Linked DNA regions of Rattus norvegicus. The protein of the gene in region 1 interacts with the protein of each later gene in a pairwise test. Links are inferred from orthologs where the notes say so. Each region holds a gene or a part of one and is shown on either strand. Other genes may lie near its edges.

Region 1 (6,435 bases):
GCCCTGGCTGATCTGGGGGGAGGGGGCTTTTCCTGGGTCAGTGACTCATTTCCTGCCCTAGCCTGAGGTTTGCTTCCACTCTCTGGACTGTCCCTAGGGTGCCAAAGGCCAGGACAGAGGCCGCCAACCCTACTGCATATAGACAACACTCTCACCTCCTGACTCCCAGGATAGGAATCATAGGGGCTAATTATCTAGACTCCCGGTCTGGGGGAGTTTTAGGTGGAATGAGCTGTTTTGTGTGCTCTCCCCCACCCCAACTCCCTACCGATGCAGATGCAGGAAATCGTGGACTGCTAGAGAGATGCTTGTCTGATGAATGGTGCACGTCGGTGTGAGAAGTTGGGCCTCCCCTCCCAGGGGAATCAGCCAAGCAGCAAAAACTTGAGAGGTTCCGCTTAGGTTCAGGCAGGAAGGAAACCCTGCAAGCTGGACAGCCAGACTTCCCCAGCTGGACCTCATCCTCATCCCTACCACCTCTGCTGTGTCTCTGGTCACACCAGCCCGGGCAGTCTTGGCTGTGACATCTGCTGCAGCTGTGGCAGCACGGAGGGCCAGATGTCAGCCTTTTGCCAACCAGAGGGAGAAAAAAGGGAAAAAACGAGATGCCCAGGGAAGCGGAAGGAAATGGAGACACACAGATAGGGCAGTGTCTTGCTTCTCCTGCCAGGTGCCCGTTCTAGCCCTGCAAAGTCCCCTGCATCTGGACAAGCTGCCTCTGCCTACCTTCCCTGGGTTCCCAGGGTTTGAGGCCAGAGTAGTGAAAGCTGAGAAGGTGGGAGCCCCTGGAGCCCCAGTGGGGTCCCTTCTTAACAGGGAGTAAGACAAGGGGAGTCCTAAGTGCTGTTGCTGCAGACACCCAGCCCCCCACCAAACCTCAGACACTTTCCATTTTCTCAGGAACAAAGCATGTTTGTGGGATGAGGTCACCCACACAGCTGCCTCTGGAACAGGAGCATGAAGGATGGGGGGGGGCAGGGAAATGGGGTTCCCGGTCTCTTCTGCTGGCCAATTCCAGTCTCCCTGGCCCCAAAGTCAGAGTTCCCCTGCTCCACCCTGCTCCATTATGAAGCAAGCTTTCAAAGGGCTGGACAGTGAGGAAGATCCCCCAGGACCCACAGGAAGTCGGGATGGTGTCATTGTCGCACAGGAGACTGGAGGAAGTTAAAGGGGGGTGCGCAAAGGATCCTACCAACCCCCTTCTCCATAGCTGCCCTGGCTTAAGATGAAGGAAAGGCATTCCCCGCCCTCCCAAAACACACACACACACACACACACACACACACACACACACACCCCCCTCAGCAAGTACAGTAAATTCTCACCAAACACCTTGGTCTGCCTTGCCTTAGAGTTCAGACTTCAGGCAACAACAGATGTCCCAAGCCTTGAAGGGCCCACCTCTTTGTGGCTTATGAATTTGAACTTTCCCTTCCACAAGGTGGGAGAACACCTGGTTCACAACCAAAGCAGGACACACCAAAGCTTTGGACAGACCAAAGCTGAAGTCTTCAAAGGGGAGAGTCCTCAGGTAGGGGTTATGCTAAAGGATGAAGAGAACCTCCTCTTCCCTCTCCTTCTCTCCCCCCACCGTCATTCAGGTCTTGGTCTCCTCTGGCCCAGCCTCTGAGGATCGCCTGGGCTGTTAGCCACAACAGCAAATACAGGTGGTCTGTGGCCGTGAGTCCACTTGGGAGCCCTTCCTTCCGGGCTTGGCGGCAGCAGCTACCTTCCCAGGTCCAGGCTAGCCCTGGATCCACCCCCTCAGAGCCAGTCACCACAATGAGATGAGGCACCCCAAATAGGGCATGGGTGTGCCTTCTGCTTCCTTCCCAGAATCTCCCAATCCCTTAATCTATGTCTCTAATGAGGACAGAGTGAAGGGCACCACCAAGGCCCACTTGTCTTTTCCCCAGTCCCCCCCACCCCACCCCCATCCCTGGCAAGGCTGGAGGACTAGAAAGGTGAGCTGGGAGATGGTCTGTATTCCTGGTAGCAGGTAGGGGGTGGGAGAGTGAGGGGGGTGAGGAGGTGAAGGGGGTGGAGGAGTAGGGGGTTAGGAGGGGGGTAGATTAGAGGAGACAGTGGGTCTTCCAGATGACCCCAATCTGCTATTTCCACTAACACACATATCTCCATGCCTGACTGAACACACACACACACACACACACACACACACACACACACACACACACACACACACCAGTGAACTTCCGAGAGCAGAGTGGCAGCATATCTTTCTGTACGGTGTCCAGTGTATAACAGCTTGCTTGGGTCACAAAATATAAACCCGACTTGAAATCCTGTGACCTTGGGTACACAGTTTACATGCCCCGAGACTGTCCATCTAGTTAAATGAGATACTATTACCTCCCTCTCCTAAGACAGCTGTTGAGCTTAAATGTGACAATCCCCAGAACAGTGTCTGGCCAGTCATAAGTCTGTAGCCTTATGTAAGTAAACGGTAGTCACTTGTATTTTTACTACAAGCCCCTCAACTCCTACTGGGGTCAGACGGTGGGTCTCAGGCAGGCCTGAAGCGGGAATTGGCCTGGGATGTGACCTCAGGAGTCTCAGGGAACCACTGAGACCAGTCAGCAGGACACAGGAGGAGGGGGAACTTTAAAGACCTTACAGGTGGGTAGTTCCCGGGGGCACACACTTTGCTCGATGTCTTGTTATTTACACAATACATACCCCACGGTCACTACAAGCCGCACACCAAAAGGCAGGACAGAGTGTATAGCTCGTTTAGAGCTCAGCACAAGACACTAGGGGCAGGCTAGGGGCATGACCGAGACTGTTCAGCAATTGGAGCACAAGTGACCTATCCCTTAGTGGAGAGCTCTGCCTGGAAATGCTATGATAGTGGTGGAAGGGGCAGTCATGGGGGGAGGGGAGGACGGGGCTGGCTCTCCTCCCCAGCTGTCAACCTGCCATTGGAAGACACCCAGAAGTCTTTCCAATCACCCATGCCAACTGCTCAACCCTTTGGTATACCCCCCTTCCCCGCCTCCCGCTCCCCCACATATCCCAAGTCCACGAGGACCCTGGCCAGACCCCACAGCTGTGACTCAGACTTAGAGAAGACCCCTCCCCCTTGACAAGAGACTTAGGGGAGAAATTAGAGCCCCCTCTAACCCTCCCTCTCCCTGTCCCCCAACCAGGCACCAATCCCAAACTCTCCACCGCCCCTCTTGCCCACAGGGCCTGGAAGTCAAGCAGTTTAGGGAGAAGGGGATAAGGGAGCGGATCCAGCAGCTGCTCTGAGGACAGGAGAGGAACATTTCATTCACCCCAGAGTCCCCTAGGGCTGAGGCAGAGCGTCCAAGATTTGAGTTTAAAAATAAGTTGGCGCTGTCTTAGAGGCTGTACGGGGCTCTCTTTCTTCAGCTCAGCGTTACAGCCTCAGGTCCTCTGCCTCCTGGGGGATGGGCTGGCTAAGACTCAATTTCCCCCTAGCTTTGCCTCCACCCTTTCAGGCCTGGGGCAGCTGTCAGTGAATACACTAGGTGTCTCTCCTCAGTGAACTCTAGCCTCCACTCCATACCTCTCGGTACCCTTGGGCTGCTGTCTTTGTGTTGGGGTGAAGGTGTTCCTGTATCTCTGAAACTGTGTCCTAGTGGGGCCTCCACTCTGAGGATCTCTGTCCCTGTGCATCCAAGTCTTGGTCTCTCAGCGTCTCAGTGTCTCTCACCTGAGAGTCTCTTTAGGCCTCAGGGAGGCAGATTTAGCCATAGTCTAACAAGCTCCAGCCTCGGGGCCTTCCAAGGCCCTGGGAAGGGCGCTAGCAATGAGTTCCCTGGGGTCATACATTTTGCTTCTTAAATTGCTCCACAGAACCCGGGTCCCCGGCAGCGCCTCGAGAAGTTTATCCGGCCATTCTCAGCCACCATTGGTGTGGTCCGGGTAGCCTCCTGGGGCGCGCGCCCTTCCCTGTTCTACCAGACTCCTTAAAAGCCTCAGTTTCTCCAACCCCGCTACCTCTAAAGCTTTTCTAGTTCAAACTTGGTCCCAATCCCCTGCAACTCGGGCGGTCCCTGCCCGACCGGGAGGCGCGGAGCGGTGGGGTCCGTGCAGGCGCGCGGGATCCCGTGTTCGAGATGCCCCAGCAGAGGACAGGGGTGGGGGCCCGGGCGCCAACCCTGGTCCGAACGCAGCGCGGAAACAGGGGCTGGAAGCTGGGTGGGTGGGGGGACTCTCACCTCGAAGCGGGCGCGGGAGCTTGGGCGCGAGCGGCGTGGGTGGGGCGGGAGCCGATCTCCCGGCGGCTCCTACCTGCGGGCCGGGCCGAGGGGGCCGAGAGAGCCGCGGCGAGGTAGCCTGCTGCGACAGACTGTGTGGGCGAGTGGGCGCGCGGCCCTAAGCCTCCGAGGAAGTGAGCCGGCCCGCCCCGCCCGGACCCCGCCCCCGGGCCCCCAACCCGCCCGCGGGGGCAAGACCCCGCCCCCTCCTGCCTGCCGCGAGCCCAGCCCAGGCGAATCTGGCGCTCTGACCTTCTCGACCACTCCTTGCTCGCCCCCTGCAGCCTGACCCGCCCTCTACGCCCCTTCGACCCCGGGGGATTTCTGGAAGCGATCCCAGGCCAGGGATACGGGGCTTCCAGGACTTAGCTAGAGTCCATCTGGGGACCAGACCCCCTCCTCTTTTCCCTCTAGCTCATCCCCAGATGTTACACTAAACCTTAGCTTGGGAAGAGGCCTTAATCCAGCCTGCTGGAGGCGTGGTTTTGATTCTGACTTACCAGTGGAGATCAAGGGTTTGTGTTTGTTTTTTTTTTTTGTTTTTTTTTGTTTTTTCTAAAAACTTGGGTTAAAGAGAGAGAGCCTCTATCCTCCTCAATTTCAAAGGATTTTTATTCTATAAGCGAGTGGCGAAAGCCCAGGCAACAGCCTCCCCATCTTCAGCTGTGTCCTGGCACTGAGGTTTCAATAGTGCCCAGGAATAATTTTGACCTTTCAGGCTCAGGGAGACCCTAATCCTAGGTCCCATTGGCTTTGGGTTTCTTGAGAGGGTGTGTGAACAATGTGAGGGGTTGGGTTGGTGTAGGCAGGGGTGGTTAAGAAGAGAGGGAACTTGTGTAGTTTCTGACCCTCCAGCTTCTACCCTGGTTCGGGAAGGGAGGACTGGCGCCTGCCAGGGACATGAGGCCCATCCAGGTCCTTGAGGCCAACCCCCCTGGGATCCTCAGGCTTGTCACTAGAAATAAATAGCCTTGATCTGGAGGGCGGGGGTGGGGTGGGGGAAGCTCTGTTGTGCTGTTTGCAAAACAAGAGACAACAAACTAACCCTGGTAATAACCTTTGCATCTCCGTGATGATTCAGATGCCCAGAGAGGCTTCCCTGATCCAAGGCTGCATCCAGCCAAGGTAGTTTGTGGGGATTAAGAGCCTTCAAGGCTGGTGAGGATCGTTCCATAACATGGGTCTGGTTCCTAGGTCCTAAAACAATTACCAGACCAGGTTTCCTTTTAAAGTTAAAGAATTGCTTCAATGTTGTTGATTTTTTTTTTTCCCAGAGCTGGGGACCGAACCCAGGGCCTTGTGCTTGCTAGGCAAACGCTCTACCACTGAGCTAAATCCCCAACCACAATGCTGTTGATTCTTGTTTGTTTTTTGTTTTTGGAGCTGGGGACCGAACCCAGGGCCTTGCGCTTCCTAGGCAAGCGCTCTACCACTGAGCTAAATCCCCAACCCCAATGCTGTTGATTCTTAAATTGCAAATGCCACGAGAGCAGAGGTTGGGTCGGGGTTTTTTTGTTTTGTTTTTGTTTCTGTTGTTGTTCACTACGGCATTCCCAGTATCTACTCCAGTGTTCGACCTGCAGTAAATGAGGAAAGAATGTCACACACTGCTTTCATTTAGACCCCCCTGCTACTCCCTGCCAGGCACCTGCTATCAGGAGTCTAGCCAGTGAATAGAGAGTCTAAGGGTGGGCCCTTCCTCTGGGATTTGTCTCTCAGGTCTAGGGAACTCTAAATGTACAGGAATGCAGGAAACACCATCATTCCTGGTTGGAGCAGACAGCAGGGGTCTGTCTGTCTGTCCTGACATGAAGTGAGGACAATGGTGGGAAAGTGTGCTGGCTAGTTTTATGTCAACTTGACACAAGCTAGAGTCTTCGAGAGGAGGAAACCTCAACTGAGAAAAGGCTTCCATAAGATCAGGCTGTATGAAAGCCTGTAGGGCATTTTTCTTTTTCTTTTTCTTTTTTTTTTTTTCTCTTTCTTTTTTCTTTTTTTTTCGGAGCTGCCCAGGGCCTTGCGCTTGCTAGGCAAGCCCTCTACCACTGAGCTAAATCCCCAACCCCAGGCATTTTTCTAATTAGGGATTGATGGGGGAACACCCAGTCCAGTGCCATTTCAGGTGGTGCCATCCCTGGGCTGGTGGTCCTGGATTCCGTAAGAAAGCAGGCTGAGCAAGCCAGTAAGCAGC
Region 2 (5,679 bases), on another chromosome or scaffold:
GATCATGTGAAGAAGTCTGCATTTTGAGCTTTATTTCCACAATGACCTTTTGCAGAGAATTTTCTTTATCTCTGTGTGAACGCTTTCTACATGGGCAACTTACTTACAAAGTAGCCTGAGTGATCTTAGTGTCTCTTGTAGCATCATGGTGATGTTTCTTTAAAAGCTCACTTGTATTTATATAAGTGTATTCTCATCTATTTTTATAGGATTTAATTTGTCTTTATGGATGATCAGTTGATTGAGATAGGCTTTTGTTGTGTAGCCCAGGCTGGACATGAATTCTTCTGACTCAGTATCCTTGGTACTGGGATTACAGGTATGTTATTATCATGTTGCTGCTTTCTCTCTCCCTTCCCCCTCCTCCTCTTCCCCACCGCCCTCTCCCTCCTCCTCCTTCTCCTCCTCCTTTTCCTTCTTCTCTTCCTCTTCCTCTTCTCTCCCCACCCTTCTCCTTTGCCCCTGGGTCCAATTTTCTCTGTGTAACCCTGGCTGCCCTGGAGCTCACTGTGTAGACTGCCTCAAACTCATGGAGATCTGCCTTCCTCTGCCTCCTGAGTGCTGGGATTACAGGCGAGTGCCACCATGCCCAGCTACATGCTTCTAAAGGCAAAAACCAGTGTCAAGTTTTAAGATGCATGATGTTATTGAAAGTCTCCAGGATGGACATTTTTTTGGTACACATTCTTTTCATTGGCTAGCATTTGGCCTATGACTTGCATTAACTGATAGGAAATGGTAGAAGTGGCTTAGGATGGGTTCAATGACTAGATACTTGTCATGCCTGTGTCCTCTGGCTTCTTCTAGCTGGGATATTTGTTGTAAGACACACTGGACTGGTTTAAAGGAAAAATTTACTACCTTGCTGCACAGACTTTGTGAAGAGATTCCAGTTGTCTTGTGCCCCTGCTCAGATCTATGTGAGTCCAGTCTTAGCAGCCATATGATGTCCAATTACATAAGCTATGTTAGGAGACCAACAGAACAACCTCACTGAGCCCAGCTACCAACAGAAAAGAGAGACAAACAAATGACTTTTGTTTCAACCCCTCAGTTTTAAGGCGTAGAGTATAGCATACATGGCAAGGCTATTAAACCACAAGACTCTGGATGATATCTTCTCTGCATTCCCAAATACCTCACATCCCTCAGAGTAATCCATATGCAAATATGAATGGTTTTATAGAAGAGAACAAGCTGAAGGCATTCCGTGCCCTCACTCCCTGGGGTAGCTTTGTTATGCACTGTCGTAAAAGTCATCATAAAGAGGGATCTTCTCTGTCTTGGTCCTCACCAGTGCTTGTGGTCTCCTCTCCTCTTTCTCGAGCTCACCAGAGTCAGAGCTGGAACTGTTCCAGAAAAACCGCCCCTGGGCTTCTTGTGCTCGGAGCCATGTTTCCACTTTGCCAGTGTTCCGGACAAAATAGTCATCCTCTGTGAGATAGTCCAAGAATTCTTCATCCTGGGCATTTTCTGCAAAAGAGCAAAAGTTTGTATGTTTTTAAAAAATTTCTCCTTAAGAATGATTATTGAAAATGATTTTATTATTATAGAATAACTTACTTGAAGGAATATTAGAAGGAAAATATTAACCTTTCCTGTAATAGCTCGGTTTGTAGAGTGTTTGATTAGAATGCACAACACGGACTGCACATAAAAAAATGGGATGGTGGTAAATGCCCATGTTCCTAAAACTCAGGGGGTGGAGGCAGGAGGTTCAGGAGTTCAGGGTCACCCATTGAAAACACACACTTTCATATTTTTGTCATTAAGAGAACCAAAAAATGAAGGAACCAATGAGTAATCAGAGGAACTTTGGACACAGGAAGTAATGGCAACCCCAACCTGGGAACTACTTCAACCACGAGAGCTTAAGTGTGCTAGTTATCTCTGTCCTCCAAATGAGCTGTGGACTGCAAGCAACATCACTGAGAACAGAGATTTTCTAGAACGTCTGTAACTGGATGTAGAGCTTTGAAGTGGAAAGAAAATAGCTGTTAGCTGTGGGTTCTAATGTACTATCAACGTTAGCTTAAGTCCCATAGCATTCTTGGGGCCAAGATCACTCTAGTCTCAGATTGTCTGTGATACAGACGCACACCTTCAGTCTCATCCTTCTCACTAGTGATGAATTATGGAAACGGTTCCCAAAAGTGTAGTCTTGTCACTAATAAGGTACAATATACACAGTCCTGGGAACAAGCAGTGAAGCTTGAGGACATCTGAGCTAGTTGTCACAACATTCTTCTGTGTGATAGTGTACGGTTTATAGATTTAAAAACAGTAAAAATAAAAACAAAAATCATGACCTTTGGAAACCTAAGTGGATTTTGGCATGCAGAGTGGAAGCCAGTGTATAAAACTCCAGGATTAACCTTCCCCCACCAGCCCCAGGGGAAGGCAATGTATTCTGATGTGTACTAAAGGAATAAGGAGTGATTTGGATGGTATAGGAAACAGAAAGCATGAGAAATGCTTGGCTGTCATGTATTTTATAATAGGTGTTTTAGAAAAATCTATCGTTGCTACACACACACACACACACACACACACACACACATCACAGTAGTTCAAAGACAAAGCTACAAATCTATTTAAAAACTAGAGATTTAGTAGTTAAATAGTATAGGGGGAATGGAGAAGGTTTAGAATTGTGAAGGTGACATTGAAATGATAGGTTCAGGGTGACCTTTCTCTGAAAGATAAGGTGTTTCCGTCTATGACGTTGTGATGGTTAATGTTGGCTGTTATCTTGCCGGGTTCCAATAAGTATTGAAGAGACCAGCCTCACCTCTGAGCATGCCCAGGAGGGTTGTCTGGACTAAGTTAATTGAGGTGGGAAGACCCACACTGAATGTGGTACCATCCCATAAGCTGGGGCCTTGGACCGAATAAAAGAGAGTGAGCTGAGAACATGCATTTATTGTCCTCGATTCCCAACTGTGGATGAAATGTAGGCAGCTGTCTCCTATCCCTGCTGACATACTTCCCCACTGGTCTTCATTAACTGAAACTGGGATCCAGAATATATCCTTCCTTCCTTAAGTTGCTTCAATGAGACAAGTAATTGATGTAGACATCAATTCCGTTTTCTCTTATATTTTATCCAGACTCTTATATGTTTGTCTGAACCTTACAGTTTCTGTGTGTGCACTGGGGGTGGTGAAGAATATGGGTGCATGGGTGCACGCAGAAGCTGGAGGTTCAGGACAAGTGTCACTTCAATGGCTCTCCACCTGAATTGTGGAGACTGGGCCACTCACTGAACCCAGAGCTCACTGACTTGACTAGCTGGGTTGGCCAGCAAGCCTCAAGGGTCCCCCTATCTCTGCGTCTCTAGCCCTGGGATAATAAATGCATATTGCCATGATCTGGCATTTTACATTGGTACTAAAGATCCAAATTCAGGTCCTCAAGCTGGTGGGACAAACACTTTCCCGGTGGAGCCATCTCCCTAGCTCTTACATGTCCTTTTTATACACATGAGATTAACTTTACATGAACCCTACATGACTGATACTATTGATCTCCATTTTACACACATAAAGATAGGGTCACCAAAGCGCAACAATAAGTGTACTTAGATATTCTTTTAAAACTTAGAGCAATGCAGAAAAACCTATGATCGAAAGGCTGCCGTAGGTAAGACTCTGCTCTAGGAAGAGTAAGATGGGCCTACTCCCAGAGAGGGCGCACTGTTGGATCTCAGTCGAAGACTTTGATTCCAGTAGCTGTGCTTTTCCTCCAACTGAATCCATGTCATGCCTCTGGACAGCGCGTGGCCACACGAACAACGTAAAATTCACAGAACCGCACATCAAAAAGAGCGAAGCTCACTTTATGCTGTACATAGCTACCTATTTTATACGAATATGTGTAATTTATCATGCGAATAAATAAAAACAATTTAAAGGTGGTTTTGTTTTAAAGAAGCAGCAGAAAAGAAAGCTCAGCTCGTGTCTCACAAAAGGCTAAAATTCCTGTCTTGCCTTCTGGAGGGAAACAAGAAATGGTAGATAAACCATTAAACCAGTGAGTGCTGGAACAGAGGATCCTCCATTGTCAGACCCCAACTACCAGAATGCTCAGGGCTGTAAGTGAGCTTGGCTGCGTTCTACTCCCAGGAGAAAGCGAAGTCAACCACTTTTAGAAGATAGGGAAACAGTCAGAGAGGTCCCGTGTGATCAGTTGGAGGGGGCCTTTGTTAGAGCCAGAGGCAAGAGTAGTCAAGTGTGTAGCCTCTGGGGTGAAGCATCCTGAGAGGTTTCATCTCTCGCTATCTGGCTGTGACCTTGTCGTGGACCTGTCCTTTCAAGTCGATATTAGCCCAAATGTTCGAATTACCCTAGATCCACAGAACACATGAAACTCAAGAAAGATGACCAAAATGCAAATGCCTCACCCCTTCTTTAAAAGGGGAACAAGAATACCCTTGGGAGGGAATAGGGAGGCAAAGTGTAGAACAGACGCAGAAGGAACACCCATTCAGAGCCTGCCCCACATGTGGCCCATACATATACAGTCACCAAACTAGATAAGATGGATGAAGCAAAGAAGCACAGGCTGACAGGAACCGGATGTAGATCTCTCCTGAGAGACACAGCCAGAATACAGCAAATGCAGAGGCGAATGCCAGCAGCAAACCACTGAACTGAGAATGGGACCCCCGTTGAAGGAATCAGAGAAAGAACTGGAAGAGCTTGAAGGGGCTTGAGACCCCATATGAACAACAATGCCAAGCAACCAGAGCTTCCAGGGACTAAGCCACTAACTAATGACTATACATGGACTGACCCTGGACTCCAACCTCATAGGTAGCAATAAATATCCTAGTAAGAGCACCAGTGGAAGGGGAAGCCCTTGGTCCTGCCAAGACTGAACCCCAGTGAGTGTGATTGTTGTGGGGAGGGCGGTAATGGGGGAAGGATGGGGAGGGGAACACCTATAGGGAAGGGAAGGGGCAGGGATTAGGGGGATGTTGGCCCGGAAACTGGGAAAGGGAATAACAATCGAAATGTAAATAAGAAATACCCAAGTTAATAAAGATGAAAAAAAAAGTTTATACCCTCACTCAAAAAAAAAAAAAAAAAAAGACAATGACAGTGTACAGTGTACTTACATAAGTTAAATAAATAAATCTTAAAAAAAAAAAAAGCAGATGGGAATAATCCTGACCTCTTGTGGTCCGTAGAGGAAGAACACAATAATGTGATTAAAATCGCTTTCCAAATGCTAGCTCTGTCCACTGTTATCCCAGTACCTGCAAGTTTCTGTCTTCAGGGCTGTGTAATGAGTGGGAGCAGCAGGAGAATGGGAAACTTTATTGAGTCACAGTCTCCCCGTCTTCAAAGAAATGCATGGTGATACCCCACTTCCTGTGTCATTTAGTTTTCATTGTCGGCTCGACTGGATTGAGAGTCACCCAGTCTGGGTGGATCTGTAAGAGTGCTTCCAGACTCTTAACATACCCTAAACATGAGTAAGCTTGGGTTCCGGACTGGGTAGAAAAGACAGGCGAGAGCAAGCTGGAGGGGAGGGCCAGTATCCATCTCTGCCTGCCTCCTGGCTGCAGACACGGTGCGACCAGCCTCGCCCGCCATCATGTCTCCCCAGCCATAAGGGACTATATCCTGGAACTGAGGACCAGCAAGCTCTTCCTTCCACAGAACTCTTGTCAGC
Region 3 (5,679 bases), on another chromosome or scaffold:
AAAACCAAACCAGGTCTGGAGGTACACCTGTAATTCCAGGACTTGGAAGGCAGGGGCAGGAGACTCACTTGAGGCTACTCTGGGCTGAACCTCTCCTCTTCACAAGGGCCTGGAACCTGGGATTAGTTCAGTGGTAGAACAGGGAGCCTGGGTTGGATGCCAAGTACTACACACTACGACTCTAATATATAAAAGTGTAAAGCACAAAACAGCAGCGGCCTGCCCATCACTTGCCTAAAGCACAGGACCACTGGCAAGGCTTGGTAAGCCAGTCACAAAGAGCCTGGGGCAAGCAGTGTCAAGGGAGTCAGGTGATCACAACCTGAGGTGTTGAGCAGCCCACCACTCTGTGATGGCCCTCGCCCACTCGACTTCTGGGTCACAAGCCTCCAGGTACACCTGTGGGGATCACCCAGCTTCTGAGCGTGCCCGAGGAGGATTCTGTCGATTAGGGTAACAGTGGGACACACATTACATAAACGTGGGTTGCAGCAATCCCTCGGTACAGGATAGGAGACTGAACTGGCAGCAGTTGAGAGTCTGGAGGTCCCCAGCAAACAGCCAGGTCCCCAGCATCCCATCCCCACAGATCCCTGGTAGAATTTGGGAATGTAGCTCACTTGGCGTTTGCCTAGCATGCAGGAAGTCCTGGATCCGATCCCTCAGACCATATAAACTAAGTGTGATGATTCATGTTCACAATCCCAGCACTCAGGAAGCAAAGGCAGGAATCAGACGTTCAAAGACCCGCTCAGGAGACCCTATCTAATTAGTTCTTGGTGGGGATGAGGCTGGTTTCAGCTGAGCTTTGTGAAGCTCAGGCCCCTCACGAAGCCCTTAGGTAGTGTTTTCCGAGGCTCCACAGGACTGGTTCAGGGCTGCTGCAGACTGGACTGGAGCCAAGGTGTTGGCGTCCTTGGTTCATCTCCCAAAGTGCCTACTCAGACCTGGGTGTCCTGAGCCTCCTGCAGGGTAGACCTTACTGGAGGTGCTCGGGACACATGCAGTCAAGGACAGAAGGGGACGACAGTAGTGACAGGGTTTTCATTTTAGGGTATTTCACAAATACCCAACACAACCTTAGAGGCCATCTCTGTTGGTCCCATGGAAGGAGTGGGATCCTTCACAGCCCCACTTCCTCCTTTGACACTCAGTCCTTCCGCTGAATGGGAGGGAGAGCTGCCAGAGGGCACGAAAGACAAGCTTCCCTCCGTGTCGGGCTGGCGAATGTTTGGGCCCACAGAGTGGCTGCTGGTGCTACCAAGGGCTGCTGCTGGGTAGAGATAACAACATAGGAAGGGCGGGGTGGCAGACCTTCCCCAGAGCAGCGCCTTCACACAAACAATGAGCGGCAGCCCTGGCCAGAGCAGGAGGTGATTCATCTCCCCCACTGCGTGGATCCTGCTGGCCACACTCACTGGGCACTGAGGGGCTGGGGCGGCCTTGGCCAGGTGCCCACACTTTGCTCCTGCCCTGGGCAGGTTGGGAATCACCCAGCCCTCTGTTATCTGGCCTGATTTCAAAAGCCTGGGTGTGTATCATAAGCAGTGTGGGGAGTGTTTAACTGCACCCAAGAGAGCAGCGGCCTCTGTTATTGCCGGAGAATTGTTCAGAACTGGTTTCTGGATCAGGAGAATAGGAAAATAGACAACAGGAAAGGTTATGTGTGTGGCCCCTCCTTGAGCTCCCACCTGCCCACGCCCTGGGCATACACTGGGAATGACCATGGCAGCTCCCTGGGCTACCCCTCTGAGTACTCCCGTGGCTTGTCGGCCATTGTTCATCCTGAGCCACAATCCTGACTGTTACGAAGGGCACTAGAGCTTCAGGTTTGCAGCGTGGGAGAGGCCAGTGCACCTGACATGCCAGGACCCAAGAAGCAGTACTTTTAATTGGGTGAGACCCAAGAGGTGTGCGCACAGACCCTGTCCAATGCACACACTGCCTCTGCTGTGACGTCCTTCCGGCTGGAATGCCGAGGCTCCTCTTGGAAGGCATGTGGGGAGTGCGTATCAGTCCCAAACAAAGGCACCTCCCAGTGGGTGGAAGTTACTGGGTTGCACAGTCCTGCCAAGTCCTGGGGTGTCCTCTGGTCACTGCTTGGCCTTCTTCACGATGGTACCCACGGCAGAAATGACAGTGGTCTTGGAGCCGCTGGCACTGGTGGTGACAGTGACCACTGCTGGCAGGGTGGCTGTGGTGGTGAGGATGGTGGGCTGCGCTATTGTCGTCACGGGGATGGCCGAGTCCCATTTGCTCTTCCTCTTCTGGGCATCTAGAGGTGATACAAGAGAGGGGTCAAGATCAGCACCAACCAATAGGACCCCAAGGGCAGGGCCCCTTTCCCGGCAGGCCAGAGGCAGGTTGGGTCCAGGAACCCAGAGGGAAGTCAATAATCTGGGAGCCTTGCTATGCTCATACTTGGCAGAGCACACAAGGCCAAGCCTGGCACAGTCCCTCTCTAACAAACCCATGAACCTCCCGCTCTATCTGGAGGCCCTGAGGTGGTGCAGGGACGGGATGAGCAGCCTGTACCTGCGACAGCTGTGCTGGCAGTGCTGGTGGTGGTGGCCGTGGCATTGGTTGTGGTGCCTTTCTTGGTGCCTGTTACAAACTCAATCTGGAGAGGAGAGAGGACAATAAGACCATTGCAGAGACATGTGTCCATTTCCTGTGCTGTCCGTCCATCTGTCTGCTCCCAGGGCACAAGAGTTCGGCATTAAACAAAAGAGGCCCTGAAAACCATCTTGGCTGGGAGCACTTGGGAGAGTGGGAGGTGCCTGAGGGGCTTTTGTCACTCTTCCAAACACTTTCCCAGCAGATGTGGGGTCCCTCCCAGCATCACAAGTTACCACACATGACCGACCGGCACCCAACCCACTGTCCCCTTAAACCAGCTGCCAGGCCTCTCCTCCTCACATCCAGGAGGAAGTGCTATCTTCTGCACAGAAGGACAGCTGTGGTCCCCAGACCTGTGTTAAGCCTAGGGTTTAGGGGGAGAGGAAGAGAAAGAAGGGGGAGATTCATTCAATGGTTAAGAACAAGAAACTTGGGGCTGGAGAGATGGCTCAGTGGTTCCATCCAGAGAACCCGAGTTTGGTTCCCAGCACCCACATGGTGGCTCACAACCATCCATGCCCTCTTCTGTCACACAGGCATACACACATATACATAAAATACATATGCACATTTTAAAAAAGGACAAGAAACCTAGTTCCTCCCCCTCACACCACTCCCACATTCTTGGCCACAAAGCCTCAGAAAGGGCCAGTTACACCCCCAGGCCTTGCAGCCCTCAGCCTGGAGGTAAGGGAGGCTCTTGTGGGTCACAGCTGCTGTGAGGAATTCAGCCCTAACCAGAGTAGGAGAAGGTGTATTCTCATGTCCAGCTGACAATCTGGGGATCGTGAAGCTCCTGGCAGACCCTCTCTGATGACACTGCTACAGAAGTGGTGCGTGGTGTCCAAATTGATGGCTTATGTGGCTCTCAGACATGAGATCCATAGGAACCCACACAAGCTGGCTGTGGAGGTCAGCTCTGCAGGCCAAGAAATGCACAACGCAGAGTAGGCCTTAGCCTCACTCTCATGAAGGAACAGCTACTTCACATCAGGCTGGAGCACCATTGAGCCATAAGAGGCAAAGCCCCCAGGGCTCTGCAGTGGGCTAAGGAAGGGCACAATGCCGGGGACGCCGAGCCTGCCACAGCTGAGCAGTGGTTTCCATAGACAGCCGTCTGCTCATCACAGAGGCCAAGGCCAAGGATGCTCAAGGCCTCACTAGACATGAAGGGTAGGGGTGGCAGGGAGCCTGGGAAGCCGGACTCTTCCACTCAGCAGCAGGACCTGCACACCTCACAGCACCTCCGCCCCAGGGTCAGTCATTACTTACTTTCGTTCTCTCCTTTTTGGCCTTTTCCAATTTGTCCATTTCAATCTTCTGGGCCTTGGCTGTGGAGACATGAGCAGTGTGTGACCGAGGAGGTCACTGCCTTGACCTTGCATTCCTCATACTGGCCTAAAGGGCTGCATGGGCTCAGCACTGGAGCAGGTGAAGTGTTAGGCCCTGGTCAGCGTGGACCATGGGCCTGGTCCAAGGGTCTGGGGGCTGCTCCTGAGCTTCATTCACAGTGAACGACCACCCTACTGACTAAGGAACGCTAGATACAGAATTATATTGTAAATAAAAATATTGGGAACTAACTTAAAATAAGGCAAAACTTGTAAGGGCCACATATACACACACTAATGAGCCAGGACCTGGTTTACAAGCTCTGGGCTTGTGACGGGGACTCACAGGTTCAAGGCTCAGGCTGTGAAATTACTCCCAGCTCTGTGCTGTGTTCCCTGGCCTTAGAACACACACCTCCTCTGCCCCGGGCATTCTGGCCCCTGCACCTCTCCAAACCTTGCTCTAACGGTCTCCTCAACAGGGCCTTCCCAATCTTTTGGCCAGGTCAGGCGCTCTGCTTGCCAAAGGTTTCTGGCTCTGCTCACATTAATTCAGTGCCATCAGTGTGGGAATTACTATCCCATCTGCCTGTACTGTGTCCAAGTCTTGCCAGCAAGGGACACCGTCAGTCTTGTCCACAGAAGCCCTGTAGACATGGCCCGGCACAGAGACCCTGCCTGAGATATGGGTCACCTAAGTCACTGACTGGATGGACAGACCGATGGGTGTGTGGATGAGTAGATAAACAGAAAGCTACAGAGGTTACCCAATGCCTCATAGTAGGAGTCTTCAGACCAGCCGTGGGGATCAAACATATCCTGCAAAGAGGAGGTTAAACTGTAGTCAGAGCGACACCACAGTGCACAGGAGCTGCCTAGGCTAGGGCCCCAGCCCTCATGAAGGCACAGGGCTTCAGCCGGCTCCCTGATCACCAGCCACAAAGCCAGGAAGCTCCTAAGAGCAGAGTAGGAGCGTCCGCTCAGCTGGTAGCAGTGGCACAGGCCCGGTCCTGGCTTCTAACTGGTTGGGACCCAGAGACCAAGCCTGTCACTGGCATCTGCCAGACTACCAGCCAAGCCACTCCACAGACGTTCCATGGCATGAAGCCACACCCACTACAGCAAGCTCCACCCCCTGTGCACACCTTTGGGTAGTTGGTGCCCAGCTCATCAATGGCACAGAACTGGATCAGTTTCTCGTAGATGCTGAAAAGGGAACAGAAGAACCCATGAGCAGGCTCTGTACTGGTCCCATATCCTGTATGGAATCAGAACCACTGGCTCCTGGACCGATGACAAAGGGATGAAGCCTTTTCACCCATCACTTCCACCAATGCAGCCTCCTGATGGGATGCCTGCCTCCTCCCCAGACAGGCTGCGGCTGGGGCCAGAAGAAGGCGGTTGAGACAGCATCTGAATGCTATGTCTACTGTAGATGCTTCTGGTCTTCAGTTGGCCTTGGCATGGGCCTCCACACTCAGACCACACAACTGGCTGGGCTCAGTCCCTGCTGACACAGGGCGCATCCTGCCCTGGGTGTTTTACTAGTTTGAGCATTTGAAAGAATAAGCCTGGGACACAGCCAGGCAGCGTGATGCACACCTTTAACTCTAGCACTTGCGGGGGCAGAGGCAGGTGGATTCTGTGAGTTCAAGGCCAGACAGGACTACATAGTGGGATCCTATCTCAAATACCTCGACATAACAATAGACCCAGCCAGACACACCTT
Region 4 (6,358 bases), on another chromosome or scaffold:
CTGAAAGTAAACATGTCCCCTGATAAGCAGGCTTTGAGCTCGGAGGCAGATATTTATCATTCTAGACATGGCTGGAGAGCCTCCGAGGAGGGCAGTCCCATGGCATTTGTTAACATTAAGAGTATATGAACACGGTTCGTCCATTTCACTTGCAGGAATTTGGCCCAGAGAAGTATTCAGACATCTACAGAGTCTGCTGTGGACACTTAGTGTAGCATTGTTTTGTTTCTTTTTGTTTGTTTGTTTGTAATGGGTAAACTTTTAAATCTTTAACTGTCAATTACAAAACTGGAAAGGACTGGGCAGTGGTGGTGCACGCCTTTAATCCTAGCACTTAGAAGGCAGAGGCAAGCGTATCTCTGTGGGTTTGAGGTCAGCCTGGTTTATAGAAAAAGTTACAGAATAGCCAAGGCTACATACAGTGAAACTGTCTCGAAAAAGCCAAACCAACCAACCAACCAAACAAACAAACAAAAGACTGGAAAGAGCTAAACTCTGGCACATTATATTACAACGCTTAGAAATATATAGTAGCTGCAAATATACTGACATCAAACTTGTAAAGACATGTTGAGTGAGATAAGCAGGTCACAAAATGAGCTTTTTAAAAATTCGCTTATAGATATAGGTTATATAGATGCTAGATTTACAATCTAAAATGTTGCATGTGAGTGCTTTGCCTGCATATACGTGCACCATGTGTGTGGCTGATGCCTAAGAGGGTGGACTCAGATCTCCTGAGGCTGGACTTGAGAGCCACAGTGTGGGTGCTGGGAATTGAACTGAGGTCCTCAAGAGCTGCAGTCAACTAAACTGCTGAGGCAGCTCTCTAGCTCCTATATGTCTTTCATTTGCTTTCAGGTCCTGTCTTTATTGCTTTCAGAAGTGTTAAAACCCAAAGCTGTCTGTATGCTAGGCAAGTGCTGTACCACTGAGAATACCCCAAACCCTGGTGGATTTGTGTGTGACCATGTTATGTAGATCAGGATGACCTTAAACTCTCAGTTCTCCTGCTTCCAGCCACTTGCCACCACACCCACAATGGCTTTGTCAGTGTTGACAAGCACTGATAAGTATGCAGATATAGTTGGGTGAACAGAGTTCAGAGAGAAGGGTTGGAAGCAGATGGGGTTAGTAGTGGTAGAATTTTTGTTGTTTGAAGTTTTGTAGCCATAATATACTCCTGTTTTCATTAGGTACTTGTGAATACATAAAGAATGATAAATAAACAAAAAAGTCAAGCCATTCCCATGCACAGTCCAGACTAGTGAATCTTCTGTGTTGTTTCCCTAGGGATTTTTGCCAAACCTGACCCTGTTAAGATGACGTATCCAGAGACTCAGCTTCACCATTCACTGCCCTTACTGTTGATTTGTGACAATCTCCGTGACCCTGGGAACCTGGGGACAATCCTGAGATCTGCAGCTGGAGCAGGCTGCAGTAAAGTCTTACTCACCAAAGGTAAGAATACCTCTTTTTAAATGAAATAAGGTTAATTTCATTTTTAATTATGTGTACATGTGTATGTCTATGTGTGCACACACAAGTGCAGGTGTCTACAGAGGTCAGATTCAGGATGCCCCAGAACTGTAGTTCCAGGCAGTTGTGAGCTGCCCACTGTGGGTTCTGGGAGTCAGCCCCCCCAGTTTGTAAGGCCTCTATAAGAGCAGTGTACACTCTTCTCTAGCCTTGGAAAAGCACTTCCTCCCCAGTGGCTTCATTGGCTGTTTTCAAATGAGTTAGGGTTCTAGACAGATATGCAGGGTCTGACTCTCTGATCTGCCCCGGGTTGGGTAACTGCATATCCATAAACAACATGTTAAATGTCAAATATCTCGTCTTTAAAGTGGGAATAAGAAGAATCTTCCTCATGGTTGGTCTTTGTTTTTTTTTCAAGATTACTTGAAATGTCGCAAAGAAGCGTTCAGTAACTATTGCTTGTGTTTTAAAATTATTTAAAAGCTGTTTTGGAATTTCAGGTCAATAAAGGGAAGAAATAGGTTCCCATTTTATGAGATTTTATGGATATACACTAATTATTTACATGCCAAAGTTAAGACTTGGTTTAAGATCCTTGTTTATCTTGAGTTCTCAAAGTGTTGAGTATATGAGTCCTTCCTAAACCCCTGAGTTCTGAATCCCATGGAAGGAAAGCTGTCACCAGAGTGATTATGTGTTCTGGTACATTTTTCTTAGCCTCAGGGAAATGTAGTTACACAGCGATACACAAATTAGCCTTATTATATTTGAGCTTTTTCGCACAGAAGGGGATTAATAGGCTTGGTTCTAAACGTACCTGGCAAGCAGTTGAGACATGTCTAGAATGCCTTTTACACCCTGGGAGCGGAGGGGAGGGAGCATGTCACTCATCAGAGACACGTAAGCTACTATTAAATAAAAACTCATAGTGGAACAATTGCTGAGACTTGCCTAAATTGCTCCATTCAACTCTTTCCTGATACACTCTGTCCAAGTACTGGAATGACAGTGTGAGACCTAGTTTCTGGGGCTCCATTTTCAGTACCCCACCCTTCCATTGTTGAGTGCTTTGATGGCAGTGTAGTTTTGGAAATGTGTTCACATCACCGAGGACGTGTAGTTTTCACTTGTTCCCACTGGCTGGTGTGAAAGAGGTCAGGAAAGAGTAGGACAGTTGGTATGCATGTGGCAGAAGGAGCTCTCATCTCCTTACTCCTCTCTAGCTGAAGGAGTGAGACTAGACATCTGCTGACACAGATCTAGACCCATCTATTCCTTTCCTTCATCTCGGCCAAAGCCCGCTCCCATCTCTGGTTCCCTGCAGTGCTTAGGAAAGCCTATAGGTGGGGTGTCTGGGCATTAGTACAATCTCTGTCGGTCTGACAGATACCACCCTAAGCTTTAAAATGACTTGTCATAAGGTAGCCCTGTGATACTCGTGGTGAAATGCCTTCCTCCTACTTGCCTGTGGTGAGAGTAGGCATATGGACAAGTCAGTATCTGCTGGGCAGCCAATGCACAGGGGCCCTAAGGTCTAGATGTGACTATGTCAGAGTGGGTACCTCTAGCCTTCTCACTACAGCATGAAGGAAGGCCTTGGCAGGGACAGAGGACTAACTAGTTGGGCTCCTGCTTCCTCCCAGATTGCTGCATGAACTTCTTGCTTGGTTTGCCCTTCGTTAGTGTAGGGAGACTGTTCTAGTCCAGATGGACACTCAAATCAAATTGGTCTTTCTAAAAAAGTCAGATTTGGTCATTGGTTTGCTTAAGTCCTCCAGTGAATATTCTTGATAAATCTATGCACCTCAGCTTAGTACTCACTCTGTTATGTTGGCCGTTGCCTGCTTTGGCCTCCTGAGTCATCCCACCTGTCGCACAGCAGGCAATGCTTGCTCACTCTCCTTTGTCCTCTACCTGGGCCTCTCTCCAGCAAGATCCTCTCGTCCCTTAGGAGCCAGCTCAGTGTCACAGTCTCTTAGATGTTTAGTGTTTTCCTGCTCGTGCTTCCTTTACATCAGTTACTGTTGATACTGCGGTCATCTGATTCAATGTTCTTCCAGTACCACAGTTGATAACCTGCATTCCTGCAGATCCATGGTGGCATTTTAATCTCTGTTACATCCTCTGCAATGCCTGGCCCCTGTGTACAGATGCAATTAACAAAATCTATCTTAGCACTAGCAGCAATCAGTCTTCCAGACCCTTTGCTGGTCAGTGTCATCAGATGGGAGGTTCTTGGTCCCAGCAGCGGAGAAGACTGTAATGGAAAAACTGCTGGGTTATGTCTTGGTTAGAATTCAAGGGATTTACTTCATCATTCCTTTTGTGGTCTAGGAAGGTTTGTAAAGTCTCAATTGTATCCTTTGTCTTTTAGGCTGTGTGGATGCCTGGGAACCTAAAGTGCTCCGGGCAGGCATGGGGGCACATTTCCAGGTGCCCATTGTGAACAATGTGGAATGGGAGACAGTGCCCAATCACTTGCCCCCTGACACCCGAGTCTATGTGGCAGACAACTGTGGCCTCTATGCCCAGGTTCAGATGTCTAATAAAACCGGTGACCGTGACTGGGCATGTGATCGCCGATTCTTAAAGTTCCATAAGAATGAAGTGGACCTAGACACTAAAGCCAGAAAAGACTGGCTTCCCAAACTTGAGGTCCAGAGTTATGATCTGGACTGGACTGAAGCACCAGCAGCTCTGGTGATAGGCGGAGAGACGCATGGGGTAAGCCTGGAGTCCCTGCAATTGGCCGAGAGTACTGGTGGCAAGAGACTGCTGATCCCTGTTGTACCTGGTGTGGACAGTCTGAATTCAGCCATGGCTGCGAGCATCCTGCTCTTTGAAGGGAAAAGGCAGCTGAGGATAAAGATGGGAGACTTGAGCAGGGACAGTTGTTGCCATTGAAGGATTGCTGCAGGAATCCTCAGTGGGAGGGCAAGGGTGCCTCCAACCCCTGCTCTACTGGACTGCTGCTAGGAGGCTGGCCAAGGTGACAACTCAGGAGCCAGGAGGTAGGCATTGCCATCATTTTGTGATGCTGTGAAAAATAGAGGAGTTTCTGTTGTTCCTTATTAAACAACAAAGGTGAAGATTCTTTTTTGTTTTACTTATATGAGTGTTTGACTGCTGTATGTACGCTACACCACAAGGGTGCCTGGTACGTGGTGGAGGTCAATAGAGGTGTCATATACCCTGGAACTAGACTTAGGGACGGTCATGAACTACTATGTGAGTGTTAGAGACCAAACTTGTGTCCTCTGGAAGAGTAGCAGGTGCTCTTAACCACTGAGCCAGCTCTACAGCCCCATCAAAATTCTCCCTACGACCTCCCTTCTCCACTGTTTTTGAGATTGTGTGTACCTCATAAGCATTCTGCCAGAGCCACATTCCCAGCACCTTAGTGTCTCCTGAGAAGCTGAGGGCTGCAGGGCATGGCGTCCAGCAACCAGCTGTTCTTTGGTCTTCTCTGCAGCATCTCTGGGCTGGTGTGTTCAGGCCTTCAGTTCTACAGGCAGCTGATGTGTATTTTCCCCCTTTGCGGTGGACCAACAGAAGCCGTTCATCAGGTGGTATCATGCCTTCTTAGCACAGCCCCTCTGCAGTGCTGTTTGTTTGCTTTAAGACTGGGTCTCACGCTATAGCCCTGGACAGTCTGGAACTCACTATATGTACCAGGGTGGCCTTGTCCGTAGAGACCCACCTGCCTCTGCCTCCAGAGTGCCGGGACTAAAGGTGTGCACCAGCATGCCTGGCTTTCCAGGCATCTTTGCGAGGATTCTGTATGAGTAAAGGCCAGACCCTGAGTCTACTTTGCAACATAGCCTGTGCTGGAGGTGTCAGCTTGCTCACCAGCTCCTCGCTACTAGTTGTGGGTCTTGTGACACTATTAAATGCTATGATTTAGGGGGACAGCAAGATGGCCCAGGGAGTAAAGGTACTTGCTGTCCAAGTGTGGTGACCTGAGTTCAACCCCTGGAACCCATATAAAGGTGGAAGGAGAAAACAGACCCACAGAGTCTCCCTCTGACCTCTACACAGTAATAACGAGGATGATGAGGCTGTAAGTGGCTGCAGAAATGGCTCAGCAGGTAAGGGCATCTAACTGATAGTTCAGAGGACCCCAGTTTAATTTCCAGCGATCTATTCAATGGATCACAACCACCTTTAACTTTGTCTCCAAGTAATCTCCTGGCCTCCTCAGATGTGTATACTCAGATGTGCACAAACACAGACGCACTCATGTACATGTAATTAAAAATAAAAAAGGAACATTTCATTTTTAAATCAGAAAGCAACACTGGGTGTTGTGAGGTAAAGATCTTGCAAGGTCAGAGTGCTGAGGCTGTAATCATATTCCCCAGGGACCATTAACCCCTCAGAACACAGTGAGGTTGGAGAAGACCAAAGCAGGTAGTTGCACCTGCTGAGTGAGCATGGGAAGGAGTGGGACTGCTGGGATTTGGAATCCATTCTAAACACTACTTCTGCAACCACAAACAATTGGTTTAGAGTTGAGGTTCCAAGGAAAGTAGTTGTACTATATCCTCAAGCACAGCGGCTCCAATGACTGGGTTCCTTTAGGATTCCTCCGACTGCTTATCCTGGGGAGGCTGAACAGGTTGTTGCATGTGCAACGGAAACCACAGCACCAACTCCTTCCCTTTCTGTTCCTTCAGCTCTAGTAAGACTCTTGGGAGAACCAATTGAGCCAGCAGTTCATGTACGAGATGGCATGGCTTTGGGGTGCTTTAGGAGAGAGTACTGGTAGTTTTCTGTTTCGTTGGCTGTGTCCTCTCAGGATGACCACTGGCTCGCCTGCCCAGGATACTGCACAAAGGTTTGATGTGGGTAGTCCACAGATTCTTGAGATTCTCAGTCT
Region 5 (6,455 bases), on another chromosome or scaffold:
CCAGTCCCCCCCACCCCCTGGGGGGGTGTTGCATGTTGAGGGGGATGTCTTATTATGTAGTTCTGGCTGGCCTTGAACTCAGATATTTGCCTGCCCGCCTCTGAGTTTTGAGTGCTGGGTTGAAAGGCATGCACTACTCAGCTTGTCTTTGATGTTTATGATTTTAATTTTATGTACATAGGTTTGGCCTGAATGCATGTCTGCACCACTTGCATGTTTGCTGCCATCAAAGACAGGAGAGGGTGTCAGGTCCCTAGAACTGGATACAGATGGTTGTGAATCAGTATGTGAGTGCTAGGAATTAAACCCAGGGCTCTTAACGGCTGAGCTGTCTCTGAGCCCCTTTGATTTTTTCTTTCTTTCCTTCCTTCCTTCTTTCCTTCCTTTCTTTCTATTGGTCTTTTGAGATAGGGTTTCTCTGTGTAGTCCTGGCTGTCCTGAAACTTGCTCTGTAGACCAGGTTGTCCAGAGATCTGCCTGCCTCTGCCTCCCCAAGTGCTGGGAGTAAAGGTGTGCCCCACCAGGCCCTTTTGATGTTGTTTTTAAGGAAGGAAAAGTATTCACTGAATCTGATTCTGGTTGAATAGAAATATTTCTTCCTTTAGAGTCATAAAGGGGGAAATGTCTATAAAAATTATAAATTGATAAAAAAAAACCCTGAAGACACATGTATCTGTAGAAGTACAGCCCTTTCAGAAGATAACCGTATCTAAACCATATTATTTCTAGGTCCTCGGGCAGCTGCAAGTGCTCATATGTCATTTATTTAACTTTCTTTCATTTCCTATGGAAGAGAAAAATGAGACCCAGGGCACGCTATCTGATGGTAGGCAATCGCAGCTTTAACTGGGGTCCACTCCTCTCTGAGCCTCTGGCATTTCAACCATAAAACAGAGATGACATCTGCCTCAAAGGGACAGGCTGAGGACACAAGGCATGCACATGAAAAGGTTGCCTAGGAAAGACAAGAAATGGGGAGAGAGCACAGAGCAACTCACATGGGCGCCTGGGTGCCATCTGAACTGCCGCTGAGTGCCAAGGATGTTGCCGGCATGAACGTAGTGACCTGAAAGAGAAGTCCAGTGAGCCGACTCCGAGACATAATCACAGAAGCCCAGCCAAGTGCTGAGAAGTTACGGCAGCCCACGGGCCCACCAACCCCCAAGCCTGCTCCTGGGTGGACCTCTAAGATGGTCCTACATACAGGGCCCCATCCAGCAGACGCTTTCTCAGTTGCATTGCCTAAGAAACTGCAACTCACTGAGGCCCCTGCTCCTCCCCAGAGCTCACCTACCCTTTAATGTGGGGACAAGTGTTACAGTGAAGGGCAGAGATGCGGGTGAGCGAGGCACCCGAGTAGCATTTTGGCTCTTCTAAGAGCAGAGCAGCACTGTAGGAAAACAGAAACGAAGGCACACCCTCACCTTCCATTTTCTTGATGCCATAGTGTTTGCCTCGTGATTTGCCACCAAGGTTCTTAGAACTGCCACCTGTCTTCTTGGATGCGGATCTGACAGCAAGTGCTGTAGGTGCTGTGGGACTCAGCAGGGCTGTCAACGCAGAGAAGGCAGAGACACTGTTCAGAGAGGCTCCCAATTTGATGCGCGTTCTTTGCCTCTATGGACCATTTGCTAAGCCGAGAAGTAGCAAGGGAGATGAGAAAAATGAAAGATGTGTGAAAGGAACAGAAACGCTAAGAATGTGGTGTTCAGGGAATGCCTGGGCAGGCCGCAATTCCAGGTGGAATTGGTCCAGAGGTAAGCGGGGTACGGGGGTGGGGGGTTGTGACTGGTGGTGATGTGTGTATCAGGGAGAGCAGACAGTGAACATAAATAGGGGGAGAAAACAGCTTGTGCTCTGGCTCCTGACACATTCAGTCCAGCTGAGCAGAAACAGCACAGAAACAGATGAAGTGGACACTAGACAGCTGCCTCCTTCAAAGATTCACTCTCCTGCCCAAGGGAAGGGTCAGACCACGAAACGTGCGGGGCTTCTGCTTCAGTCTCACTCTTAGCTATCCGCTGAACACCAGAAAACTGCACCAGAAGGGCAGCCCGTCAGAGGGTGGCTCCTGCAAGCTACTGGCCATTCCAGAACAGTCTTTTCTTCCCAGAGCCCATAAGCAGAGACGTCTGCCTAAGATCAGCATTAATCTGACCTCGCCACTCATCACCACAAAGGACTCAACATTTACCTTAAAAGGATTAATGATGTGGGAGGCGTTCAAGGGAGTAGAGATGATCAAAATACACTATATACATGAAATCAAATTCTCAAAAATTAAATAAAAATACTTTTGAAAGAACATTATCTTAAACGCATACTAATGGGGCCAGAGAGGTGGCTCAGAGGTTAGCAGCAGTGACTGCTTGCAGAGGACCTCGATTCAGTTTCTAGCACTTCTGTAGTGGTTCGCAGCCATCTCTAAGTTTCAGGGGACCCAAGGCCTTTTCGTACCTCTGCTGGTACCAAGTACACCATGCAGTATGCATATATACACACAGGCAAAACATTCATACACATAAAATAAAATTCAGACTAACATGGGCAGTTGGCTGTCTGTTTTTAGTTTCTGGGTATAGTTATAGGATCTTAGGATCTAGTATCAGCACAGTTAGAGAGGTTTTATGGGTGTTTGGGGCATACATTCACAGTATTGATTACCTTGGTCTCTCAAATTCCCATGAAAACAGAAAGTTTCTAGGATACAAGACTAGAGATAGGAACTCAGAGCAGGCCAGGCTGGGCATAGCAGCACATTCGAGCCTTTGATCCCAGCACTTGGGAGGCAGAGGCAGGCAGATCTCTATGAGATCACAACCAGCCTGGTCTACAGAGTGAGTTCTAGGACAGCCACAGCTACACAGTGAAACAGTGTCTACAAACAAACAAACATCATCAAAAAAGAGCTTACAGAGATATGTTCAATGTCCAGCAATGGAATAGAATTTTCCTAACCTTAATCCCCTCCCCCTCTCCTGTACCCCTCTCCTGTAGGCCTTAAACTTGCAATCCTCTGGCCTCTACCTCACATATAACCTGAGGTTACAGGCATGCACTTCCTGGCTTCATTTACCGACTTACTGGTGACTGATTTTTTGAAATAATGTTTTGTCTACATTATTTCATTCATAAATGCCTGCTTTTGTGAAAAACAAGAATCTACAGATTACTTCTCTCATTTTACAGACCAGTAAGACTTGTGGAATCTATCTTCAGAACAAATGGATGTCATTTTCACCCACTACCCTCCAAGCTCTCTACCATCACCGCTAATATCTTGGCCAAATCGTCCTACAGCAAGTGTTCCAGATGGTTTTCCATGTAGGATATTTTATTTATTTATAGCTTTTGAGACTGTGACCCAGGCTGGCTTTGGACCTGATGCAATCCTCCTGCCTCAGACTCCTAAGTGCAGGGATTGCAGGCACCAGCATTCCCGGTCCCACCAGGTTTCATTCTTATTCTTATTTATTTCTTTGCTCAGCCTGCCTCCTCTGGTTTGCTCCTCAAAGTGTAAAACTGTCTACACGGGGTTGGTTGGGTCTGTCTCTTTTAGGTCTTAATTGTTATCTCTTGAAGAGCCATCCTTGATGCCCTAATCTAAGACTCTTCACAACACTATTTACGATTACAACTAAGTTACTCACGTGTTTACTGGCTGAACTTACAAGGCGTTAGAAATCATGTTTATGCTGATACTCTGAACAGGGTCTCATCAGACCTAAAATACCAGCACGAAGACGGCAAACTTCACAGTGAGGACCTATCTCAAAAGTGAGGATAGGGAAAAAAAAAAAAGCCAAGTCCTGAATATCTGCTGAATGACTCGACTAAATTTTTTGAACTTAGTCTTCTTCATATACGAAGGAATCCACATAAACCCAGGGGCACAAGGTATCTGGAATAACTATCACCAACAGGCATTCATTCTCAACTACCACCCTCTGCACAGCACCGCCCACCACGTGTCACGTGACCGGAGACAGTCCGCCTCCACGAGTCCCGAGTTCCACACTCCTTCCCTGTATGTAGAATTCACACGGGCTCCGGTTTCCATCTCCCGGACTCCCTGGTGTTTCGCCCCGCAACAACCACAGTGCTGAGCTACCTGCTGCCCGCGTCCTCAGCGTAAGGGCCGCCGCCGCCGACGCCATGTTTGCTTCACATTCACTTCCAGGCTGGGAAGTCTGTTTCCGCTACCGGGATAGATCTACTTCCGGGTCTTGCGTACAATTCAAAGAGTGGCGGGAGCAATAACAGGTGAGCGCAGATCTCTCAGGGTTTATGGCTGGGACCTCCAGAGACTTTTGCAATGGATCGTGGGCCTCAGAGTCGAGGCGTGTGGCCGGCACGGACATTTGTACCACTCAGGAACCAAACGAAAGTCCCTAGGGAGGGACCAGGGTGATGCTCAGCCAGATTCCAAGCCAAACTGGTTGTATACGCACAATTTCATTTAATTCATTTAATTACAAACCTAAGTTATTTGTTTTATGCTAAACTGAGATCCAGGAAGGCTGCAAGCATTCACAACCTACAGTCACTAATTATTTGTTGAATGAATGACTCTTGCGTGTAACCCAGTAACTTCAGTGCACACACAAGAGAACTGTGAAAACATAGTTATTCAGAATATTTGTATGTGGATATTTGTAGCAGCATTATTCACAATAGCCAAGAAAAAAAGCACGGTAACTGTCTATCAAGCAATAAATGTGAATATTATTCAGCTATTAAAAACGAGGCAGTACTGGTGCATAGTATGGCCACAGAAGGACCTTGAAAGCATGACGGTGAAAGACACCAGTCACCAAAGGCTCATACTGTGTGCTTTTGTGAAGTAAAGTACGTAAGCCCATAGAGACAATGGATCTTGTTTTGTTTTAGGCACTGGGAGAGGGAAAGAACTTTTTTTAATTTTTAAATTTTCTTAAAAAAAGTTTTAAATGGTTATAGAATTACTTTTGCTTTTGAGAAGTCTCACTGTATCATGTAAGCTGGTCCTGAACTCAAAATACCTCCTCTATCTGCCTCCCAAAAGATGGGATTGCAGTTATGCACCAGCATGCTCAAATCGTATCGGATTTCTTTTTGTGGTGCTGGAGACATTCTGGAATAAGATGATGGTAATGATTACACAACACAAATATGCCTAGCCCCATTAGTCTGAATGAATGATTTATTTATCTGTTATTTGTCATGCTGGGATTAAAACCCACACATGGCTCTACACATGCTAAGCAAGCACTCTGCCATTGCTACTCCCAACTCCTAGAGTACAGTTTTAAGTAGTATACTCTATTTATGTGAGTTGTAAGGGCTTGGGGTTTTTCTGTTTTGCTTTGTTTTTTTGTTTTTTGTTTTGTTTTGTTTTTTGGGTTTTTTGTTTTGTTTTTTTTGTTTTTGGCCTGTGTGAGCACATGTGTGCACATGGGTGTGTGCACAGGCATGCATTCCACAGTGTAGGTTGAATTGAAATCCAGCTAGGTGACATGCATCTTTGCTCACCAGGCCATCTTATTTACCTATGTTTTTATTTAAAATTTCATTTATTTTTATTTTTATATTGATGTGGAGGCCAGAGGAAGGTGTTGGATCTCCTGGAGCAGGGATTACAGGCAGTTGTGAGAAGTATCCAGGGTGGATGCTGGGAACTGCACCCGGACCTCTCTAAGAGCAGTATAAACTCAACTGCTGAGCTGGCTCTCCAGCACCGGCATGGGTTTTGTTTCTTATGTTTGTTTTTGGTTTAGAAAGATCTCCATGTTGGGGTGGGGGGCAGTGAGCTATGACCCAAGTGGTAAAAGTGCTTGCTGCCAAGCCTGATGACCTGGATTCAATCCCCAGGACTCACACCATGGAAGGAAAGGACCGACTCCCTGAAAGTAATCCTCTGATTGCCACATCTAGACTGGGGCATGTATATGCCCACACATACACAAATATTTTAATTTTTTTAAATGATCACCATGTTAAATCAAAAATTATTGTGCACACTTGTGATTCCAGCGCGTGTCAGTGCAAGGCAGAGGGATCTGGAGCTCACACTCATCCTCAGCTGCGTGAGTTCAAAGCCAACCTGAGCTACAAGAAACTCTCAAAAAGACAAAACAGAAAGCTCTGTCAAATGCAGGGGTCAGCAAAGAGAGAGTAATGAGTTTTTGTTAGGATTCCCATTAAAGTTTTCCAACAGTAACCATTTTGATTATAACTCTCCATGACCTGGAAAGGTTTTGAAGGAGAGATCCTATTAGTGTATCGGTGTGGCCATTTTGAGTCCCAGATTGAATGTGTTGGAGCATGTTCTATTTCTCTGATTCTCTGAGCACATTTATCTTCATAAGGCTTGTCTTTGCCAGCATGTCTAGTGGACCAGCGTGAATAGTCTCATGTATGCCTCATCTTTCCTTTAGGCTATTAAGTTGATAGCTCTAATGGGTTGATGGCGCTAA

What was found.
Region 2: the proteins of Fhl3 (region 1) and Ccdc198 interact in binary tests that used the Homo sapiens proteins (3 or more experiments, as listed by UniProt). The two-hybrid records come from large-scale screens. The link is inferred for Rattus norvegicus from reciprocal best matches to the Homo sapiens genes FHL3 and CCDC198.
Region 3: the proteins of Fhl3 (region 1) and Sap30bp interact in binary tests that used the Homo sapiens proteins (3 or more experiments, as listed by UniProt). The two-hybrid records come from large-scale screens. The link is inferred for Rattus norvegicus from reciprocal best matches to the Homo sapiens genes FHL3 and SAP30BP.
Region 4: the proteins of Fhl3 (region 1) and Mrm3 interact in binary tests that used the Homo sapiens proteins (3 or more experiments, as listed by UniProt). The two-hybrid records come from large-scale screens. The link is inferred for Rattus norvegicus from reciprocal best matches to the Homo sapiens genes FHL3 and MRM3.
Region 5: the proteins of Fhl3 (region 1) and Mrpl27 interact in binary tests that used the Homo sapiens proteins (3 or more experiments, as listed by UniProt). The two-hybrid records come from large-scale screens. The link is inferred for Rattus norvegicus from reciprocal best matches to the Homo sapiens genes FHL3 and MRPL27.

The regions. Positions count from the first base shown.
Region 1 is NC_086023.1:142,236,608-142,243,042, reverse strand, and holds the start of Fhl3 (four and a half LIM domains protein 3), read right to left. Parts: upstream 4,254-6,435; 5' UTR 4,206-4,253; intron 1-4,205. UniProt on the Homo sapiens protein: Recruited by SOX15 to FOXK1 promoters where it acts as a transcriptional coactivator of FOXK1.
Region 2 is NC_086033.1:24,981,662-24,987,340, forward strand, and holds the end of Ccdc198 (coiled-coil domain containing 198), read right to left. Parts: intron 1,474-5,679; coding exon 1,238-1,473; 3' UTR 1,036-1,237; downstream 1-1,035. UniProt on the Homo sapiens protein: May be involved in tuning the metabolism, energy expenditure, and excretion processes.
Region 3 is NC_086028.1:101,691,611-101,697,289, reverse strand, and holds the end of Sap30bp (SAP30-binding protein), read right to left. Parts: intron 5,157-5,679; coding exon 5,096-5,156; intron 4,770-5,095; coding exon 4,718-4,769; intron 3,951-4,717; coding exon 3,892-3,950; intron 2,621-3,891; coding exon 2,536-2,620; intron 2,276-2,535; coding exon 2,094-2,275; 3' UTR 1,032-2,093; downstream 1-1,031. UniProt on the Homo sapiens protein: Plays a role in transcriptional repression by promoting histone deacetylase activity, leading to deacetylation of histone H3.
Region 4 is NC_086028.1:61,596,279-61,602,636, forward strand, and holds the end of Mrm3 (rRNA methyltransferase 3, mitochondrial), read left to right. Parts: intron 1-1,293; coding exon 1,294-1,461; intron 1,462-3,853; coding exon 3,854-4,383; 3' UTR 4,384-4,587; downstream 4,588-6,358. UniProt on the Homo sapiens protein: S-adenosyl-L-methionine-dependent 2'-O-ribose methyltransferase that catalyzes the formation of 2'-O-methylguanosine at position 1370 (Gm1370) in the 16S mitochondrial large subunit ribosomal RNA (mtLSU rRNA), a conserved modification in the peptidyl transferase domain of the mtLSU rRNA.
Region 5 is NC_086028.1:80,090,052-80,096,506, reverse strand, and holds the start of Mrpl27 (39S ribosomal protein L27, mitochondrial), read right to left. Parts: upstream 4,163-6,455; 5' UTR 4,158-4,162; coding exon 4,112-4,157; exon of another isoform or gene 4,057-4,111; intron 1,632-4,056; exon of another isoform or gene 1,551-1,631; coding exon 1,425-1,550; intron 1,067-1,424; coding exon 999-1,066; intron 1-998. Other genes in the region: crossover junction endonuclease EME1, read left to right, coding at 6,446-6,455.